5 linked regions of the Coturnix japonica genome follow. The main gene of each other region encodes a partner of the protein of the gene in region 5 in a complex. Links are inferred from orthologs where the notes say so. Each region holds a gene or a part of one and is shown on either strand. Other genes may lie near its edges.

Region 1 (4,604 bases), on a different chromosome or scaffold from region 5:
TATTTATTGCAGTGTAATAATGAACATCAGAAAGCTATGCCTTTGGAACTAAATTAGCTTGAATAATTTTCATGATGAAATGCAAATATATTTGCACATGAAATACAAGACCAGGATGTAATTCATGCATCTCCATCTTTTGGAGAAAGCAACCAAGCCTCTCATTGAATCTGTGATCATTAGGCCAAATCCTTACCTTACTGGGCTTGTCACTCTGAGGATCAAATACTTTTTCACAAAGTCGAAGGCCAGTTTCTTGCCTGAGCTGCTGCAAGTATGCTCTCATCACCTCTGAAATACAGCACAAGGACAAAGTAGCATTAAGGCAAACTAAACTGAGTGTGAAGGCAGCGGACATCACTGCCTACAGCAAGAAATGTGAGCTCTCACATCTGTAGGCCCTTGCTGGCTGTTCATTTTACAGCCATACTTGGATTTGTTATATTTGTATGAGTAAAACATATCTCAATTGTTTTCTTCTTTCAGCTAAGCCTTTGCCCATCATTATGGGTTTCCTCTCTGCCAGTGTAGGAGTTAGCTTGAGCTCTGTTACAGAATCTATCTAGCAGTTATAAGATCAGAAGACCTCAGAAAACAGAGCTAGAAGTTTTCTAGTTGTAACTGCAAAAACACAGCTGGTAAAGCTTGGACCAAAGCAAGTCTTTAGGGGTCTTTGTTAAGTCTTACCTTCCTCTTGCTTGTTGGTAGGTTTGGCATAAATGGCATTAAGTGGAAAGCCAGGTTCCCCAGGGATTGGGAAATTAGTGATTCCTAGCGTGTACATCTCTTTCTCTCCTTGGCCTTTAGAGTTGCACTGAAAGAACCAACCAAACAATTGATTACAATCCCTAAACCATTAAGACTTATCAAGAACAGCAGTGCAGTGTCCCTGCAAAACCACAGCCTCAAGTATTTGTTTTGTGGTTCTGTAAACTGGGGTTGCAGTGAACAGAGTCTGCTGTGCCTTTAGGAGATGAATACCAGCAAATACTCTCCTGAGTATAATCCCCAGAACAGACTGTTTCCCTCCTTACCTTTTGCAGCTTTTTCAAGCACTCAGAAATGTAGAGAGTTACGTAGATCAGTGTTCTGTCAGCCTCGTTCTGCAAAACAAGAGTAAGCACAGAGCCCGGTCTGTTAGACTACAAGGGACTTCATGGAACTGCTAACAGTTTGAAATAGGAACGAGTTCATGGCATTTGTGCCAGCAATTTCCTCATAGGAAAGGAATTATTGCAGAAAAAAAATACCTTAATTTCATAATTTTTGAAGAAAACGTTGGCTTTGAAGTAGTAGATGGCTTCATCTATAATATCTGTATCTTTAGCTAAAGCAAAAGAAAGAAAATGAAAGAAAACCAAAATTAAGCAGTGCATTGCTACACATTTGGTCATAACTTTTACATGTTGAAGTACACAAACAGTGTTTCTTGCAAAAGCAAAATCATTTACAAGAAGCAGAGGACTATGGTAAATTTTACCCGTGTGAAAGACTGGTGATCTCTGACCAAACCATTTAAGTTTCTTACTCTTAGTAGGACTTTTAACTCCCTTCTTTTCCCATGACTTCACAAAGGGCAGCAGGTTGGCAGTTCTTTGGTATATCCTACCAGTTGAGTGACTCACCAGAGTTTTAACAGTATAGAACATATTAATATATGTATATTAATATGTATAACAGTATAGAATATAATATATATGCAACAGTATATAGAATATACTGTTAAAACTCTTTCTGAGGGCCCAAAAATATATTTGGGAGAAATTAACACCACAATCAAACAACCTTCCTCATTATTCTCCTGAAAAAAAGAAGAGGAAGGGTAGATTACATAGTGGCAGGTTGACCTGCAGCTTTCACTTTCTTTTACAAACATGCTTGAATTCTGAAATATTTCCTTTTTCAAACCGAATTGCCACAGTTAAGCATCCTCAGCTATTGCACCAAAGCTGAGTTCTGCAGCTAAACCTCCACTTCCTCTGACAGCAAAGGGTTAATAGCACCACATCCTCACAGCCTGCTGAAAAGAGGCACAGGAGGAAGTGTGAAAATACTATCTGTAGGCAGTGTTAATTGCTAAAGCAGCTGAATTACCCAGAGCCGTGCCAGATAACAGCCATGGGATCATCATTTTTTCTAGTTGGCACCACTTATATTCTTATAAACTTACTTTCTCGAGGTGCTGGGCCTTTGAACTGGCTTCTGATGGGTAACAGTGCCATGTTCCCCACTAGCTTGGTATCCGAGTCCATTAAAGTTGAATGGTAAGCCTAGAGACAAGGGAAGACTGCTTATTATTCCTGCAGAATATTGCCCTTCCTTTATCCTGTTAAAACAGAGTTTGGTTTGTTAGGGATATGATTTAACTGGGAAGTATTGGTGATGGTTGGACTGGATGATCTTCTAGGTCTTTTCCAACCTTGATAATTCTGTGATTCTGTGGTGCTTCCAGGAACCTTTCCTTGCACAAACAATGGTCATTTCTTACTTAGGCCTTCTGCAACTCAGCACCATTCCAGCGATGAGCACAAAAGCATTTATTGGAACCATTTGTCAGTGGTGGTGGAAGAGCACAGGCTGAGAGAGATGGGGCTGTGCAGCCTGGAGAGGGCTGTGGGGAGAGCTGAGAGCAGCCTGTCAGTATCTAAATAATAACCAAAACCAGGCTTATCACATACACACACAAAAGGCCTTTCTGTGCATTAAAACTGATGTAAGTGAATAAGAAGCACTGGGATGTGCTACTTTCTGGTGTGGCCTTGTGGTGCGGTTCCCCCAGATGCACTCCTGCCGCCCGGCTGGGTGCCACGGGGGGGGGGGGGGGGCTGACTCTGTGAGGTCAGAACGGGATAAAAAAAAAAGGGGAAGAAAAGAGGAAGGCGGCAGGTCCCTCCACACCGATCCGCTCATCAGTGCGAGGCTCCCGGCTACAGCCCCCCTTTCATCCGCCCCCAGTCCGTCCCTGGCGCTCAGCGCCCGCCCTGCCCCTTCCCTCCCCCTGCCCCGCTCCGCTCACCGGCATGGCGAAGGGCAGGGCGCAGCTCGGTGCGACGGCAGCGGCGCTGAGCTCGTAGCAAATCTTCCTCTTCCTTCAGGAAATGAGGCAGCGGGGCGGTGCGACAGGGGGAAGCCACAGCCCGTACCGCCCCGAGGAGCCGCTCCCTGATGGGGAAGCACAGAACTGACCCCCCCCCATTACGCGCTGGGTCTGAGGGAACTGTTGTCCTTGTGAGGCAGAGTGCCCCATTTGCCCCCCTTTTGCCCCCCCTCCACCTCCTCGTCACTTGAGTCAGGCCGAAAAAATGGGGAGATTTGAAGCTGAAGGGCTGGGTTTCTCCTTTCCGTGAGCAAAGGGCACCTCTGCTGTGAGGATGGGCTGAGGGAGATGGGCTGTTCAGCCTGGAGGAAAAGGCGGCTGCAAGGAGTCCTTAAAAAGCTGCGTCCCCAAAAGCTGTGTTCTCTAATTCTAACCTCTTTCTGGTTATGGCAATGACTACCCTGAACTCTCACCTAACTGTCCAGGGCTGGGAGTAGCTGTGTCATATCCTCAGGTTTAGATAACTGCCACTGCCTCAAAGTATTCAATCATTGGTTTGGTTTACCAAGCCGCTCCAACAAAATGACATTAGATGCTCTTATTCTACTGGGTTTGAATCCCCCCTGTGGCGCAAGTGGTAGAAGTGCTGCTCTTCTACACATAGGCTCAAATCCTGGGAACTATATAATACATAGAAAAAGATGACACGCCTATATATGAGCATTTACTGATATTAAGCTTTACGTCACCACAAGGCCCTTTTTAGAAAACACTTTTATTCAATAATCATTAATAAAACTCGTTCCTTAGGATCAAGGAAAGGTTTATAAATACTTGGATATGACTAGAAGAAAAGCATCCTCCAATTCAGCTGAAATTAGCTAATAAATTGGATTAATATATTTTAGGAGAAATAATAATAAAAGATATTTTGAGAACGTTCGAGAGTCCAGGAACATTCTGTATTTACAAAAGAACTATTAACAGTAATACAGCTCACTATATTCTGTCGTATACACCGTCATATAGCTCACTTCTCACTAGCGATGTTAGTTATCTTAAAGGCAAAACATCACATAAATATGTTTGTGTGGAGGTGGATGGTTTTTGCTTTCTTTAAAACACACAAGCGATGCATTTTCTTCCTCTTTTCCAGCATCTGCTTTTTACTCATTCACGTGATCTTGAAAATACTCATCCACGAGTGCAGATTTATCTTCTTCATATTCCTGCAACAAGAAAACAGAAAACGTAATACCTGACTTTTCTCTAGTGACTGTTGGATGCTGTCAGTTCTGCAATGCTTTATTTTAATAAGCACAACAATGTCCAGTGCAGTTCTATAAAACAAGTAGCAAAACTTCCTGAACAGCAGTTTGTTTCTAAAGCTCTCCCATATGTATACATCAAAATCCAGGTGTGGTTATTTTGCATATCCTGAGAGTAGGAAACTGAATTTTTAAGAAGATCTTAGTGGCATACAATCATCTTTTCCAACCTTTAACATTGAAATAACATGATTATATTATGATTTCTATTGTGGATCCTTTCTAATTTTTCATCTTAT
Region 2 (3,989 bases), on a different chromosome or scaffold from region 5:
CATGTTCCTTGTCTCCGAGGGGCAGGGAGCAGGCACCCACCTGCCCACACACGCTGCACCTTGCTGGGTGCCCCTCCTGCAGCATTTGCCTCCTTCTCAATGCTCATGTTGGCACCGCAGCCTCACAGCGTGCCCACCAGGAACTCCCCTCACTGGGCTGTGCCCACGGCCCTGCTCTCGAGTGGGTGAGGTGTGGGGCAGCCTGGGGGTGAGGGAGGCTGCTAGCAGCTCAGCCCCACTCCATGCAGTACAGGGGATCCCATTGAGCTGCATCCTCACCCAATGGGAGATGCGGGGGGGTTCCAGCAGCCCTAAGCCCTGCCCCCTCTCCTATGGCTCCACACCAGCTGGTTCCCCATCATCTGTCACCCCAAACCCTTCCCCCAGGCCGCTCTGTAACCCCATCCTCCCCCGCACCCACCCGAGCCACTCCCACTCCTTCCAGTACCGGCGGGGCTGCCCCCGCTGTTTACTGTTGTCATGGTGCTGCTCCGGGCCCCGCCCCCCCCTGCCCCATAGCCCCGCCCCCGAGCATTCCCTCCATTCTCTCCCCCTTTCCTCCCCCCACAGCAACGCAGCGAGGAGCCGGGGCGTACAGCAAGTAACTCTTTATAAAACACAATGCGACAGGACAGGGAGCGGGGCCGCCCAGCCCCACACACGCACAAGCCCGGTCCGCCCCCGCCCCGGCCAGCGAGGAGACGGGATCGCAGCCAGGGGCTCAGCTTCCCTCCTCCATAGCACGAGAACCCCGGCATGCGGCTCTGCACAGGCACCGGGAAGCCACGGAGTCACGGCACAGCCTAGAACTGCAAGGCAAGACAGAGGGGAGGAGCCCATCAGCACTGGGATGTCCTACATCCCCCAGCTGTGCCCACCCTCAGCCCACTTAGAGGACCTCAACCCCAGTGGAAACATGAGCACCAATTACAGCCAACCCAGGATGGGCACAAACTGCACCAAAGCAGCCCCCAGCAGTGGGTTGTGCCTATGAGAGCTGTGCCCCACTGCTGGGAGCAGGAGCATCCCCGGAGCCTTACGTTCTTGAGGAATTCCTCTGCCACAATGCGGGCCCTGGCATTGACAGACAGCTTCATCTCGCTGATCTCCTTGTCGATCTCCTCCATGAAATGGATCACGAAATCCACGAGCTTGTGCTTGTACATCTGCTCCGTGTGGAAGTTGGTGATGAGGAAGCTGATGTCGTAGCCCTGAGGAAGAGAGGAGCAGTGTAAGAGCTATGGGTGTGCAGCACAGTGGGAGTGCAGCACAGTGATGGTGCAGTCCAGATCTGCGCTGTGGGTCCCTGGGACTCCCTCACCTCTACGGGCTTCCTGCGTAGGATGAAGAAGTTCTCAGCCCTCATCATCATGAAGCGCATGAACTTATGGCACAGGATCTTCTCGATCTCATCGGCCTGCAGACACAAAAGGGAAACGAGGTTCCTCACACTCTCACAAGCTCCCAGCCCCCATCCAGCCCATCCCCACCTGTTTGACAGCGATGCTGACGCGCACGGAGTTGATGGAGCCCTCGATCAGCACCTTCTCCTTCTCGTTCCTGCTGATGATCACGGGCTGCAGCAGCAGCTCCTTGCTGCTCCTGGGGGAGCAAAGGAAGGTCAGCATGGAACCGCTCGGTGCCTGCAGGCACAGTGCGGGCAGTGTCCGTGTGTCCGTGTGTCTATCCCCATTGACACACAGTGCGGGCAGTGTCCGTGTCCATCCCCATTGACACACATTACAGCCCCGTACCTGACCTCCACCTCGGGCTTGTTGTGCCGTTCCACCACCTGCGACGAGAAGTTCTCGAGGCACAGCGCGGCCTGCAGCGTGGCGCGCACCGCGTTCAGGTACGGGCGGAGCGTGGCGGTCTGAGGGGCACGGCACAGTCACGGACCGGGACCGGGCCCACCCCAGCCCCGTCCCCCCCTATCCCCGTACCCACATCCACCCCCATCCCCCGCCCCGTTCTCCCGCCCCGTTCCCTCCCGCTCCCACCATGGTGTCGGCTCCGGTCCGGTCCGTGGAAGCGGAACCGGAAGTGGCCGGCTGTCTCTTCCTGGATGCTCGGGAGGGCCCAACCCGCAGCTGTGTGGGGGCGCTCTGTTCTCTCTCCGTTCCCGTTCCGTTCCCCGTTCCGTCCCGTCCCCCCACACCGTGTATATGTATATATGTGTATATATGTGTATCTGTGTGTATATCCGGCCGGTCACGGGGCGCGGCTGCAGCGCCTGGAGGCGGCGGCGAAACCCCGCGAGATTCGACCCCCCCCGCGATCCCGCCGCTCTTGGTACGCTCCGTACGGCGCTTCCATATTAGGAAAGGAAGAAGGAGAGACGAGCGAACCAATCGGCTGCGTGCACCGGGCGGGGCCGAGCCAATGGGGAGAGAGGGGCGGGGCGAAGCGGCGGGGGCCGGAAGTAGCCGAGCGGCCCAATGTAAACCCGGCCCCCCCCGGCCCTGCCCCCTGCCCGCCCCCCGCCGGGACCCGCCGAGCTCCGGGCGGCACCGAGAGACCGGACAACAGGCTTCTATCGCCGCCCGGTTCCGACCCGGTGCCGCCATGAGCGAGCTGAAGGACTGCCCGCTGCAGTTCCACGACTTCAAGTCTGTGGACCACGTGAAGGTGTGCCCGCGGTACACGGCCGTGCTGGCCCGGTCCGAGGACGATGGTATCGGGATCGAGGAGCTGGACACGCTGCAGCTCGAGCTGGAGACGCTGCTGTCCTCAGCCAGCCGCAGACTGCGGGTACTGGAGGCAGAGACACAGGTGTGGGATGTGGAACATGGAACGTGTAACGTGTAACGTGTCCGTGTTGTGACCCCCCACCCCATCACCGCCCCACACACGACCCTACACGTTATTCCTCTATTCCAGATCCTGACGGACTGGCAGGACAAAAAGGGCGACCGGCGCTTCCTGAAGCTGAGCAAGGAACACGACGTGGGCACCTCCGTCAAACACGGCAAGCCCAAGAAGCAGAAGCTGGAGGGTAAAGGGGGGCACGGGACGGGGCCTGGGCCCGGCAGGCCTAAGTCTAAAAACCTGCAGCCCAAGATCCAGGAGTACGAGTTCCAGGATGACCCCATCGATGTGCCGAGGATCCCTAAAAACGATGCTCCGAACAGGTGAATGGGGAGATGGGGGTGTTGGGGTTGGATGTTTCCTTCCTTGTAGTGCAGGAGATCACGAGCTGCTCTCAAAGTGTCCATCACAGCTCCCCATCACCATCATTCCTCTGCTCTGGCCTCGCAGGTTCTGGGCATCAGTGGAGCCGTACTGCGCCGATCTCACCAATGAGGAGGTCAGGGTCCTGGAGGAGCTGCTCAAACCGCCAGAGGACGAGGCTGAGCACTACAAGGTGACAAGCTGCAGAGCCCCCAGCCCATGCTCTCTCACCCCATACTCTGCCCTGCACTGTCCATCCCTGGGCAGGCTAAGAACTCACACCCCACTGTGAACATTGTGCGTGTCCTCTGGGGTGGTGCTGACCCACGGGCTCCTCAGCACAACCCCAGCCCTGTGCTGATGGCCCATCCTGTGCTGCAGATCCCACCGCTGGGGAAGCACTACTCACAGCGCTGGGCTCAGGAGGACCTGCTGGAGGAGCAGAAGGATGGAGCCCGGGCAGCGGCTGCGGCTGACAAAAAGAAGGGTGTTCTGGGACCACTGACCGAGCTGGACACCAAAGGTGCTGTCCCATCCCCTATCTGTGATGGACTGCACTGAAGCTGTGTGGTGAGACCAGGGGGCTGGCATCCAGCTCCCACAGAACCGGGGCTGCTCACAACTGTCTCCTGCATCCCCTCAGATGTCGACGCCTTGCTGAAGAAGTCAGAGGCCCAGCACGAGCAGCCTGAGGATGGATGTCCCTTTGGACCCCTGACACAGCGTCTCCTGCAGGCCCTGGTGGAGGTGAGGGAGCTCAGGTCTGTGCAGTGGCCCTGCGAGGTGCTGCCAGGGCGAGGTGAACCTTTCCCATGTGC
Region 3 (3,460 bases), on a different chromosome or scaffold from region 5:
GCTGACCCCTTGCTATGGGGAGGGATGGAGTGGAGTCTGATGGTGTGCTGGGACTGTTACTGAGTGTTATTCCTCCTCGTGCTCATTCCCAGTCAGGAATTGTGCAGTTGCTGTGGGAGGAGAACTCCGCTGTGGTGTATACCTGCAGCCTGGATGGGGCTGTGCGGCTCTGGGATGCCCGCTCAGGGAAGATGATCAGCGAGTATCGAGGGCACTCTGCTGAAATCCTCGACTTTGCTGTCAACAAGTGAGTAGGGACCCCCCGGACCAACCCTTCCCTGAGGCTGCTGGGTGCAGGAAACGCCTGAGCCTTGGAGTGTATCATCTGCAAACACGGATGCTCACATTGAAGGGTCTCAGGGGATGGAGTACGGGTGTTCACAGCTAGAGCTGTCCAAGGCCACCAGTTTGGCTGCTGAGCCCTATCTCTCTCCTCCAGGGATGCCTCCATTGTGGTGACGACCTCCGGAGACCACCAAGCCAAAGTGTTCTGCGTGCAGCGCCCTGACCGCTAGCGGCAGTGCTGAGGGATGGCGGCCTGGCTCTGCCATGCTGCTCATGTACAGCGGGACAGGGGAGATGGGTTTCACCCCCCTTCTCCAGCACGTGCTTTGTAATTTTTCAGCCTGCCCTACTTCGCCCTCACAAACTGAGGGCCGAGTCTGGGGTTTTGTATGAAAATGTCTTATATATAAATTATTTCACTTAACCTGGATCCCATCCACTCTGTTTGCTGGGGGAAGGGTGACCTTATGAGATGTGCTCTGTCCCACCAAGGGATTTTAGGCATTAGCTATAGGGGCTGTTCTTCCTACACCACAACGCTGCCTCTCAGCCTGGCTGACTCCAGTCAGCCCCTTTCCTTGGCAAGGCCATGTGCATTGACAAACCAAAACCCTACAGGTTCCTTAAGATAGAAAGATCTCCTTTATTAATGAACCCCAACAGTATTTCTTCAGATACAGGAGTTTTGAACTCAAATACTCAGAAGAAAACAAGTTAATATTGCATTATTCTCATAAGAAATACTGCAACTTATTTCCGGTAACATATTGCAAAGCGAAACAGCTCGAAAAGAAAAAAAAACCAAAATTAAAAAAAAAAAAAGAAAAAGAAAAGAAATGAAGTCAATCAAACTGGAATTAAGGTTTGTTTCTTGGAACGATCGAGTCCTCGCAAGCACAGCTCGTTTCTGCAGATTACTTCCCAAACTGTCGTACAAACAGACCCCGATTGCTTGAATTCCTTATGAGCCCACAGAGGTGCAACATTAAAAGCTACGATTATCGGGTAGCAAGTGCCCCAACCTTCGTCCTCCACAGTAGCCTCAGTGACCCCCAGCGTTAACGGGTCGTGAATGTCTTCCCCCTGAAAGGATGCAGAGAGAGGTCAGTGCGGCCTTCAGAGCTGCCTTGGGTTGCCCCAAGGTGACTTGTGGGCACGTGCTTGCATTGAGCTCTCAAAGATATACTGGTACTGCTGGTTCAGAGCTCACAGGCATTGCTTGCAGCAAGCAACTGGACCACACTGCTATGGGGAGGGGCTGGTTTTCACAGAGGGTACAACCCCAACACCCCAGAGCAGAAAGCAAAGAGGAAATAGCAGGATGCAAAGGAGCTCTGGGATCAAGAGGCCAGTGTCATGATGGAAACATGCTACACAACCACCGTCATTGGTGTGCATTGCTCTGGGCTGCTTTATTTGCCAAAGGGAGTCAGTTGCCAGGAATGCTCACAGCCTGAGTGAGCTATTGGCCACAGGATCTGGGGAAAGCCAGGCCACGCTCACAGCAGGAAGATGCTCTGCAAGTACCGGACATCAGGTCCCAAAATGGCCATCCCATACTATCCCAAACCTAGGAGCAGAGATGCTGAGCTGTGAAGAAGTGCGCTGATTGCAGGCAGGGAAGCCTGATTAACAAGGTTTTGCTTTGCTACTCACGTGATTGTTTTCATTTCTTTCTTCTCTGCATCTGGACGGGCACGGTTCAGCACCTTGAGGAAATCTGATGTTTTTGCCCTCATACGTGTGTGAATATAGGCCTGCAGGAACAAAACGGGGCCGCTTCAGGATCCCGTACTCACAGCTAAGACCCAGAAAGGAAACCACAGATTGAAAAGGGGGAAAAAAAAATCCTACTTTGCTGCTAGGATGGGAGGCGAACAGGCACTGCTTGTACCAAGGAACAGGAAGAAGGCGATGACGCACCATTTGCCAACCTAGCACTATTGTGCAGGGCAGTGCTATGCACTAATCAGCTCCCAGGGTGGGGGAACGAGGGTACTCCTACTCCATGCTTCTCCCTCTTAGTCCCCCCAGATGAGATGGGCCAAGCCTCCCATTTTCCCCAGCCATATCCCCATGGTGGTACCTTTGAGCACTTGATGTGATAGTGCAGGTAGTCTCGGAATGTGTGGATCAGGTTTATGGTGTTGTCTCTGGCAGCAGCATTGGTGTGACGGGGGAACAGCACTGAAAGGAAAGAGGCCACATAAACTGTTATTGCTTCCTGAAGCTATGAACGGGCCCTTCAGGGTGCTCTGGTGCTACAGGCTATAGGGCATGCTGCTCTGAATGCCTGTTTGCTGTGCCCAATATTGAGACACGTATTGGGATTAAGCAGCTCTGGCGATTTTAAACATGAGGCTTAGCAGCACTTTCCCACCCACAGTCACACGCTCATGTCTCTTGTAGCAGCCTGGATGCAGCTGGAGGACACAGACAAGGCCAAGTGCTCAGAGATGACGACATCCACACGTTACTTCAGTCTGGTGCTGTGCTAAGTGTCCCAGATCCAAGGGCTGAAAGACCTTTTGTCTCAGTGATGATCTCACCTGGGACTGTCAGATCAGATAACAGAGAGCCTGCCTCCAGACAAGGAGGAAGTCTTGCTAGCAGTCCAAGAATTGCCACTAGGCAGCCCTGCCATGACTGATTAAGTGCCTGAACCCAGGGCACCATTCCCAGCGTGGGAGTAGAGCAGCTCAGGCTTTGCTTTCCTCTGCAGTGTCTGTATGTCTGTGCTTTGTCTCTGAGCTCCAACGTGCAGGCATGCTGGCCTGGGAGATCCTAACGGCATATTCAACCACGATCCCAGTTTCTCTGTAAGAGATCGCTCCCTTTGAACAGGGGCAGGGTTTGGACTCCTCAGGTCAGTCATCAGTGCTACTGCCCAGGAGGAAATGACTGCTAGCCAGCAAAGCAGCACCTTTGCAGGCAGGTGAAGGTACTTCATCAGAGATAGATGTATTAGACTTAAAACAGAGGGGCAGAGCAGGAGAAGCACAGCTTGCAGCCCAGGCATCTACAGTTACAGATCACATGCCTATGAGAAAGAAGCCTGTAGTACCTGCAGTATCACAACAAAGCCAAACGTCTCTTACTCCCAAGTGCTGAACCCAATTTATAGGCTGATCTCACATGGCTTACTATCTATTCCCCTGCTGCCCAGAGCAGAGCT
Region 4 (3,634 bases), on a different chromosome or scaffold from region 5:
CACAGCAGAAGTTGAGCTGTGGGGTTTGGGGGAGGTGTTCCCTTTTCCCCCAGCACAGTTTGACACCAGAGCCCAGTGCTGGGGCAGGACCCTACTGTGCCTTCAGGGCTCTGGGCACGGGAAGGGCTGTGCTGGTGACAGGGATGCATCAAACCTGGGCTGACCCTGCGAGCGTGGGGCCGTCAGAACTGCTTTCACCCCACAGAGATCGCGCTGTGCCCCAATAACCACGAGGTGCACATCTACCGCAAGGACGGGGCCAAGTGGAGCAAGGTGCACGAGCTGAAGGAGCACAACGGGCAGGTGACAGGTGAGTGCATGGGGATGGACGAGCTCTGAGGTCAGTCCCAACCCCACTCAGTGACACTGGTGGCCTTGGGACAGGGGTTGTGAAGGAGAGGAAGGGCTGTGTCTGGTGTTCCTGGTCCCAATTCAGTGTGTCAGGAGGCACCCGGGGATGGGATGATAACATTGTAGAAGGGTTGGGATTAAATTGACTGGGGGAATATAGCAGAGAAGGACTCAGGGGCAGAGAGCAGCCACATCCCCACCTCCAGATGGCCCCCTCATGCCCTGTCCCCATCCACACGGCTCCCCCCACATCACTGCCCCCCCCACCTTCCAGGCATTGACTGGGCTCCTGAGAGCAACCGGCTGGTGACATGTGGGACCGACCGCAATGCCTACGTCTGGACCCTGAAGGGCAACGTCTGGAAACCCACCTTGGTCATCCTGAGGATCAACCGGGCTGCCCGCTGTGTGAAGTGGTCCCCCAAGGAGAACAAGTTTGCTGTGGGCAGCGGCTCCCGGCTCATCTCCATCTGCTACTTTGAGCAGGAGAATGACTGGTGAGTGGCATTGAGGTCACCATCCTGCATTGGGTGGGGATGGATGGAGGGGAAGGGGTCGTATGTGTGGGGAAATGAGGGTGTATGTGTGGGGAAATGAGTGTAGGGGAGATGGGTGGATGGGGAGGTGGGGGAGAGGGATGAGAGGTGAGATAGGGGAGTCATTGAGGAGACGGAGGAGGAGGCAGAGGAGGAGCCTGATGGAGAGGTGGACATAAGTGCTGCAGGACCTAAGAGCTGGGGACACAGCACTGTCCCCATGGCCCAGCTGCTGACACAGGCTGGGAGCCAAGGGCAGTTCCTGGGGGCCCCAATCACCCCCAGACTGTGGTGTGAGAGCCATGGACTGTACCCGGGGGCTTTAGGGGCACCAACGCCGCTCTCCCTGCAGGTGGGTGTGCAAACACATCAAGAAGCCCATCCGCTCCACAGTGCTCAGCCTGGACTGGCATCCCAACAACGTGCTGCTGGCTGCCGGCTCCTGCGACTTCAAGTGCCGGTGAGTGGAAAAGGGGGGACCCCAGGGGGCTCTATGGGGTGAGCAGGGATGGAGCTTGTTCCACGGCGATCTTCTCCTTCCCAGGATCTTCTCAGCCTACATCAAGGAGGTGGAGGAGCGGCCCAGCCCCACGCCCTGGGGCTCCAAGATGCCGTTTGGGGAGCTGATGTTTGAGTCGAGCAGCAGCTGTGGGTGGGTGCACAGCATCTGCTTCTCAGCCAGCGGCAACCGAGTGGCCTGGGTGAGCCACGACAGCACCCTGTGCCTCGCTGATGCCAACAAGAAGATGGCGTAAGCAGGGCTGGGGCTGCAGGGGGATCTGGGGGAGTTTTTGGATGGGATGGGCTACGCAGTGATTTGTGGCTGCCCACGCTGGGGAAGGCAGCTGCTTTTCTGTGGGCTGGATGGTCCCCAAAATGATGCAGGGGTGGAGCTGGGATGGAGCTGGGGTGGGGGTGAAGGGCTGAGTGGAGCCGGGTGCAGGAGGAGGCACAGCCTCTCCTTGCAGCATCACAGCCCCACTCCCACGTCATGAGCTGTGCTGTGCTCAGCATGGTCTCAACTCACTGCTCACACTTTCTCCCTCCCTTTCAGTGTTGCCTCCCTATGCACTGAAACCCTTCCCCTCCTGGCCGTCACCTTCATCACTGAGAGCAGCCTGGTGGCCGCGGTGAGTTGGGCTGGGCTGAGGGCGGGCAGAGCACGAGGTGATTCTGAGCAGGACCACCACTTCATCCCCAGGGCCACGACTGCTACCCCATGCTGTTCACCTACGAGGAGGGCTCGGGCACGCTGAGCTTTGGAGGGAAGCTGGATGTCCCCAAGCAGAGCTCCCAGCGTGGCCTCACTGCCCGCGAGCGCTTCCAGAACCTGGATAAGAAGGCGAGCTCTGATACAGCCAACGCTGCGCTGGATACAGTGCACAAGAACAGCATCAGGTGCTGATGGGGCATCCGTGAGAGGGGGGAGGGTCCGGGGCTGCAGTCTGACCTCCCTCCCCTGCGCTCCACAGTCAGATCTCTGTGCTGGTTGGGGGCAAAGCCAACTGCTCGCAGTTCTGCACCACGGGGATGGACGGTGGCATGAGCATCTGGGACATCAAGGTGAGGCCCCTCCCGAGCCCCCCAACCACATCAGTCCCTCCTTAGCCCCAGCTCAGTGTAATCAATGTCCCCATTGATTACAGTCTGGGGTCTGCACAGCTCCACTCACCTTAGGAAGTAAAAAAATAAGGCAGTTGTTGAACAACTTCTTGTTTCAGAGCCTGGAGTCGGCACTGAAGGATCTCAAAATCAAATGAAGGATGCAGCCAGGAGGTCCCAGCCGCAGCTGCCCCGCTCTGCTGCTGCACTGCTGCACTCCCTCTGCCCCGCGCTCCCGGCTGCCAGCCAGCCCTGGGCTGCTCTAACACAGAGATAAAGGTGGTTGTTGGTTGGGTTGTTTTTTTAATACTATTTTTGTTACCATCCTAACCGATGCTGGTCATACATCGCTTTATGAATTCAATAATAAAGATTTTCCCATATAAATCCAATGTTTTTTTCTTCTTTTCTTTTAAAGCATTTTAATGTGAGTACATGTGATTACAGCATGCTGCAGGGTTTAATTGCATGTGCTCAGGTTAACACGGCTCCTGGCAGCCCCTCCATGCAGTGCAGCCCCTACACTCACAGCCCCAGGACGGATCCTTGCTGGCAGCACTGGGATGGAGATGTTTGAGTCACTCCATGATTCCGAGCTCTGGTCCATCCTCCCACAATGGAGCTGTGTTCTACTGGGCAAAGACCTCTATGTGTCACCCACCCCAGTGCACCTGAACCAGCCCCTTTCTCCCTCCCCTCCTCCTGTAGGCCCCAGCCACCTCCCTTTGCTCCCAAGGCTCACCCCAAGTTTCCACCTGATCCTCTGACACCACCTCAATTCTCGATAAGGCTGAGAACTGCTGGTGCCCCACAACCACAATGTACCAGATTAAAGCATCTTCTGCCAGCTCCACGCTGTGGCACAGCCCAGGGATGGCCTAACACACTGACTGAGCCCAACAGCAGCCTGAAGGTAATTGTTTCCTCCTCTCCACTAACCAGATGGTGCAAGACGTCCATCAGAGAAGAGCAGGAAAAGCTTCTTGCCTTCGGGCTGCAGCTGCTGATAGGGCTCCCAAACCCTGAGCCAAACTCAACATCGTGAACAGCAGAGAGAAGCAGCAGACACAAGAAACCACTGCAAGACCACACTGTGCTGCACTGTGTGTTCTATCAGTTCACTTACACAAGGACATGGCAGTTCT
Region 5 (4,002 bases):
AATTAAATATTCCCAGTCCTCGTAATGCTATGATCCATTAAAGATATTAATAGAGACAGTGAACTCCTGTTCAGCTCAAGTTTGACTTTATGAAAATGGATTCTGGTTCTCCTTAATCCTCTGAATTGTGGTTAAGTATCTACAGTCTCTGGAGTGGTTTTAAAAAGCACATGGGGCAACACAAATGTTTTCTCATACTTCAGAAGCTATAGGAGGCTTCTCAATTTATAGGATAAAATTACTCAGCACCAGAATAACTAAAACCCAGCCTGGTGCACTTAGCAGGAAAACAGAAACGAGTGCACCATTGTAGACAGCTGGAAAGCAATGCAGCCTCAGCAGGAAACTCAGCCATTCCTACTATATGGAAGCAACCCAGAATAGGCCACTACGTTCATCACACCACAGCTGCCTGATACACAGCAGACAGCATTGCTAATGTCCAGTTACACAGCGCTTAGATAACGGGCCACTAATGTCTATACATGCTAGAAAACTTTCAATTTAAAAACACAACAAAATTGTACAGTTTGATTAATCCTTGAGTTTTTCTGCCTCAGATTTATTTAGCAGGACACTGAAATAAAAGACTACTGCAAAAACACCCACGGTCACATAGCAGAAAGTATTACTATAGCTGTGACAACTAATGGTTTTTAAAGGAAAGTTAGTAGGTCAAGATAAAATTAAGTTCTTATTCCTCCAACCAACTGAATTCAGAGGTAGCTTAGGTTGTCCTGGACAGCACAGGATCCAAGAACCCAGCTTTCCTTCTAAGAAGGCTTTCACTGACAATCCCTGGGGGTGTTAAGCAAAGATCAATGAATTGGTTGTCATCACACCTTTGTCTCAGCTACTTCCAACAACGCTGCTCCATCTGGTCAGCATCAGCTTGTCCAAGCATCAGCCTCTTCCAAAATGTTACTGCCTTGCAGAAGTTCAAGTCATTTAAATTAATTAACAATCACCCAATATCTAGTAATCAAAGTATCTTAGATACCTGAAGAAAAATGTGCATTTCTAACCCCGTTTTGTTGGTGAAATGGCTTGAGACACCCAGTCTGCTTCTAACGTTTGGATAAGAGGGACTGTTTGAATTTGACCACAGCAACCTTTATAACCATGGCTGATGGCACATTTGGCTCAGAAGACAGGAGAACTGCCTTCCCTCAGGCAGCTTCTGGGTATTCCAAGAAAATCCAAGCTTTTTATCCATACTTGAACAACAGCACATCTTAACTCCTACTAGAGGGACGTACCTCCACGATCTTCTCTCTGTTTTTAGTTGGGTTCATGGGAGGTTCTGTAAGCAGTATTTTACAATTTTTTGTGTCAATGTTAAGTTTCTCTGGTCCAAATGTGTAATCCCAGAGGTGCTTCATATCATCCCAGTTCCGAACGATGCCATTCTCCATTGGATAATTAACCTCCAGCATTGAACGTAATTCACTTGCTTCGTCTCCAACCATGAGATCCTGTAAAATGTTAACATAGAAGTATGTTAGTTGTTGCAAAGTCCTCTAGAGAACAAAATCCTCAAACAACGACAGCAAGCTGTGCTAACCCACATCTATCTGTGCTTTCAAACAATGCCCACATTTCAGAATTGTTTTTAGGAGCTTAGGAGACAAGTAGAATATACCCCGTGTAATATTGAAATTGGACTGTTATCTATCCCAAACCTTCCCCAAAACGATGCTTTTGTAAGGGTAGATGTTTCTCCACTGACACCTCCGAAGTTCTGTCATCAGATTTCAGAAGGCTGAGATACAGAACAGCATGTAAAGATGGTAGGTGGACTGCAGAATATTTTCCCTGCACGCTGCACGATGCCAGGAAAGGAATATAGAGTGGTCCATTAGCAAACAGAACAGTAGCAACAGCAAATAAGTGCTTATGAGTTCCACACTATACCTTAAAAGTACCTGTGGTTTACACATTGCCTATGCCAGTAGGGTGTGAAGAGAAGAGACATCTAAATGTAAAACATACCCTGGTCTGTTCCATGCTGAAAGTCCCAAGACAAAAACCACGGCAATGCATTCTTACACAAACACAACCAACGAATGCAATTTGTACAACCATTTCCCATTAATTAAGCAATCTGTTTCTTAAAGTTAGTTATGCAAACATTGCACATTCAAATTAGTAGCACTGTATCTTCTCCTTTCCCACGTACTTCCCAGAGGAAGTATGCACAATATGACACTGTGTTTGTTCCCTGTTGTATCTTACATTTTCCTATGGAAGCCTTAACTGATCTGCTCACACCTGGCCTCTAAGAACATGTTTCTAGAGCGCTGCTTTCACTCTACTGCTGCCTTCATTTCGCTGCAGAAAATTGTCTGCTCCACACAAAAACATGCCAGCAGTTACCACGGTGCAGAAAACTTTTATAGAGAAGGTTATTCAACCTACAATTCAATGCAAGGGGTAAAAAAAAAAACAACGGACAGAAATGCAGCATCAAGTCCATCAAAGCCCATTTCAGAAGCAACCTAAAGAGCTGCCAGCAACCAATAAAAATAAAAAGGAAGCTTATTGAAAACAGTGTCATATAATCTGTTCCTCCTCCCTGACAAAGTGCTCCATTTGCTTTCCCTTGTGCAATAGATCACACCTCCACTACCCAGACTGTACAGAAGACAGAAGTCAAGGCTCTACCTTTTTAAAACCAAAGGTAGTTCAGTGGAAGCATAACACAACTCCTCCACATCAGGTTATGCCATCAGAAACCCTCAGCAGTGTATTATTGTGTGCTGCCTTTGGAGGCTTTGTGCTCCTGGACAGGATGCAGCCCAGGAAAAGCCAGTACTGAAACACACAATCAAGTCACACCAAACTTCTGCGTCCTGTTAACAAAACAAAGCTGAAGGGCAGAAGCACTCATTGTTCTCCAGGGCACACAAACAAACAACACTCATAAGGAAGGCAGCCCATACAGCATCACTGTCGTGACATCCAACGTTCCCATCACTCTGGGACTCAATATTTGCCTAACTGGAAATTGAAACTTTTTTCATGCCCTTGGTCTGTAACGTTATGTAAAGTAATTTCCGCTGCTGGAGATACTGAGCTCACATTGGTCTTCAAGTGCTATTCTTGCACCTTGCAAAACCACAGGTTATGTCATACTTCAACACAATACGTAAAATAGTCTCATCAATTAGTTGCTAGTAAACCAAAGCAATGAAACACATCCAAAGTAAGTATGGATTCAAAGGCAAAATGTAAGGCAAGACAGAACAAGGAATAGCAAAAAACAGCAGAAGAGCTCTAGGTCCCACCAAGCATCAACACTAAACAAGCAGCACGAGGCACCCTCACTTACCATTTTTTTGTTATTCTACTTCAACCGGTCAAAAAAGGTGAAGAAAAGGTAGAAGCAAGAAAGTCAGAAAAAGCCTAAATGAAATTCTCCAGTTATTTAAAGTACGCAGTAGAAATAAGCTGCAAATAGATGCACGCGCGGCTGAAAAATATCCAGGTTAGTGTAGTTAGGGCCAAGTTCACATCCTTGGGATTTTAGCTTAAATGTCCCTATTTAAAGCTACCGCAACAAGTTGCTGGCATGTTGCGTTTGTGCACCTTATGTTGCAAACAAAATCTGTCCCTTTCTAGTAGGGTTCTGTGCATAACTGTTCTGTAACACTGGAATTTCACCCCTAGCAATGTGCTCATCTGAACTAGATGAGACTCTGCAGAAAAGGATTGACTACAGCCAGCTCTGGCTAATGCTACGTTTAGGTTGTTTTAAGTGTTCTGCCTTAAATACTCAAGAATTCAAAGCAATAATGTCAAAGTATTTGTCTATAAGGAGACTTAATTGTTCAGATATCTTGGAACTAAAGTTCTTCACAATAGCAAGGTATGGATGTAGGAAGATAGGAGAATTAAAACAGCTGGGAAGTAACCTGAAGTACAAAGTGCACACATGCAAATGCTGTCTGAAATTATACTATGGTCATTTTCATGACTGCTGAGATTCTTTCTCCTCCAATT

What was found.
Region 1: ACTR2 (region 5) and ARPC3 share a complex: the UniProt entries of both Homo sapiens proteins name them as parts of the arp2/3 complex. The link is inferred for Coturnix japonica from reciprocal best matches to the Homo sapiens genes ACTR2 and ARPC3.
Region 2: the proteins of ACTR2 (region 5) and ARPC4 are in contact, whole or in part, in a cryo-EM structure (PDB 6YW6), measured with the Homo sapiens proteins. The link is inferred for Coturnix japonica from reciprocal best matches to the Homo sapiens genes ACTR2 and ARPC4. Residues at the interface, in NP_005713.1 of Homo sapiens: Tyr222, Val223, Tyr225, Gln229, Glu230, Lys232, Leu233, Ala234, Leu235, Glu236, Thr237, Thr238, Val239, Lys253, Thr308, Met309, Tyr310, Pro311, Gly312, Pro314, Ser315, Asp346; in NP_005709.1 of Homo sapiens: Val29, Val30, Glu31, Arg32, His33, Lys35, Pro36, Glu39, Val40, Ala98, Glu99, Asn100, Phe102, Ile103, Leu104, Arg105, Arg106, Lys107, Leu117, Thr119.
Region 3: ACTR2 (region 5) and ARPC2 share a complex: the UniProt entries of both Homo sapiens proteins name them as parts of the arp2/3 complex. The link is inferred for Coturnix japonica from reciprocal best matches to the Homo sapiens genes ACTR2 and ARPC2.
Region 4: ACTR2 (region 5) and ARPC1B share a complex: the UniProt entries of both Homo sapiens proteins name them as parts of the arp2/3 complex. The link is inferred for Coturnix japonica from reciprocal best matches to the Homo sapiens genes ACTR2 and ARPC1B.

What each region holds. Positions count from the first base shown.
Region 1 is NC_029530.1:4,513,114-4,517,717, reverse strand, and holds the start of ARPC3 (actin-related protein 2/3 complex subunit 3), read right to left. Parts: upstream 3,152-4,604; 5' UTR 3,023-3,151; coding exon 3,017-3,022; intron 2,271-3,016; coding exon 2,171-2,270; intron 1,328-2,170; coding exon 1,251-1,327; intron 1,104-1,250; coding exon 1,035-1,103; intron 815-1,034; coding exon 688-814; intron 292-687; coding exon 197-291; intron 1-196. Other genes in the region: GPN3 (GPN-loop GTPase 3), read right to left, coding at 4,204-4,266. UniProt on the Homo sapiens protein: Component of the Arp2/3 complex, a multiprotein complex that mediates actin polymerization upon stimulation by nucleation-promoting factor (NPF).
Region 2 is NC_029527.1:9,003,387-9,007,375, reverse strand, and holds ARPC4 (actin-related protein 2/3 complex subunit 4), read right to left. Parts: upstream 2,137-3,989; 5' UTR 2,004-2,136; coding exon 2,001-2,003; intron 1,874-2,000; coding exon 1,755-1,873; intron 1,603-1,754; coding exon 1,491-1,602; intron 1,418-1,490; coding exon 1,322-1,417; intron 1,212-1,321; coding exon 1,041-1,211; intron 810-1,040; coding exon 804-809; 3' UTR 594-803; downstream 1-593. Other genes in the region: tubulin monoglycylase TTLL3, read right to left, coding at 41-107; TADA3 (transcriptional adapter 3), read left to right, coding at 2,566-2,772, 2,881-3,131, 3,259-3,364, 3,553-3,694, 3,815-3,918. UniProt on the Homo sapiens protein: Actin-binding component of the Arp2/3 complex, a multiprotein complex that mediates actin polymerization upon stimulation by nucleation-promoting factor (NPF).
Region 3 is NC_029522.1:24,179,098-24,182,557, reverse strand, and holds the end of ARPC2 (actin-related protein 2/3 complex subunit 2), read right to left. Parts: intron 2,473-3,460; coding exon 2,372-2,472; intron 2,043-2,371; coding exon 1,942-2,042; intron 1,369-1,941; coding exon 1,344-1,368; 3' UTR 909-1,343; downstream 1-908. Other genes in the region: AAMP (angio-associated migratory cell protein), read left to right, coding at 93-247, 440-515. UniProt on the Homo sapiens protein: Actin-binding component of the Arp2/3 complex, a multiprotein complex that mediates actin polymerization upon stimulation by nucleation-promoting factor (NPF).
Region 4 is NC_029529.1:4,413,475-4,417,108, forward strand, and holds the end of ARPC1B (actin-related protein 2/3 complex subunit 1B), read left to right. Parts: intron 1-205; coding exon 206-310; intron 311-625; coding exon 626-848; intron 849-1,239; coding exon 1,240-1,347; intron 1,348-1,431; coding exon 1,432-1,638; intron 1,639-1,941; coding exon 1,942-2,017; intron 2,018-2,088; coding exon 2,089-2,285; intron 2,286-2,359; coding exon 2,360-2,450; intron 2,451-2,608; coding exon 2,609-2,647; 3' UTR 2,648-2,881; downstream 2,882-3,634. UniProt on the Homo sapiens protein: Component of the Arp2/3 complex, a multiprotein complex that mediates actin polymerization upon stimulation by nucleation-promoting factor (NPF).
Region 5 is NC_029518.1:1,505,336-1,509,337, forward strand, and holds part of ACTR2 (actin-related protein 2), read right to left. Parts: intron 1,476-4,002; coding exon 1,260-1,475; intron 1-1,259. UniProt on the Homo sapiens protein: ATP-binding component of the Arp2/3 complex, a multiprotein complex that mediates actin polymerization upon stimulation by nucleation-promoting factor (NPF).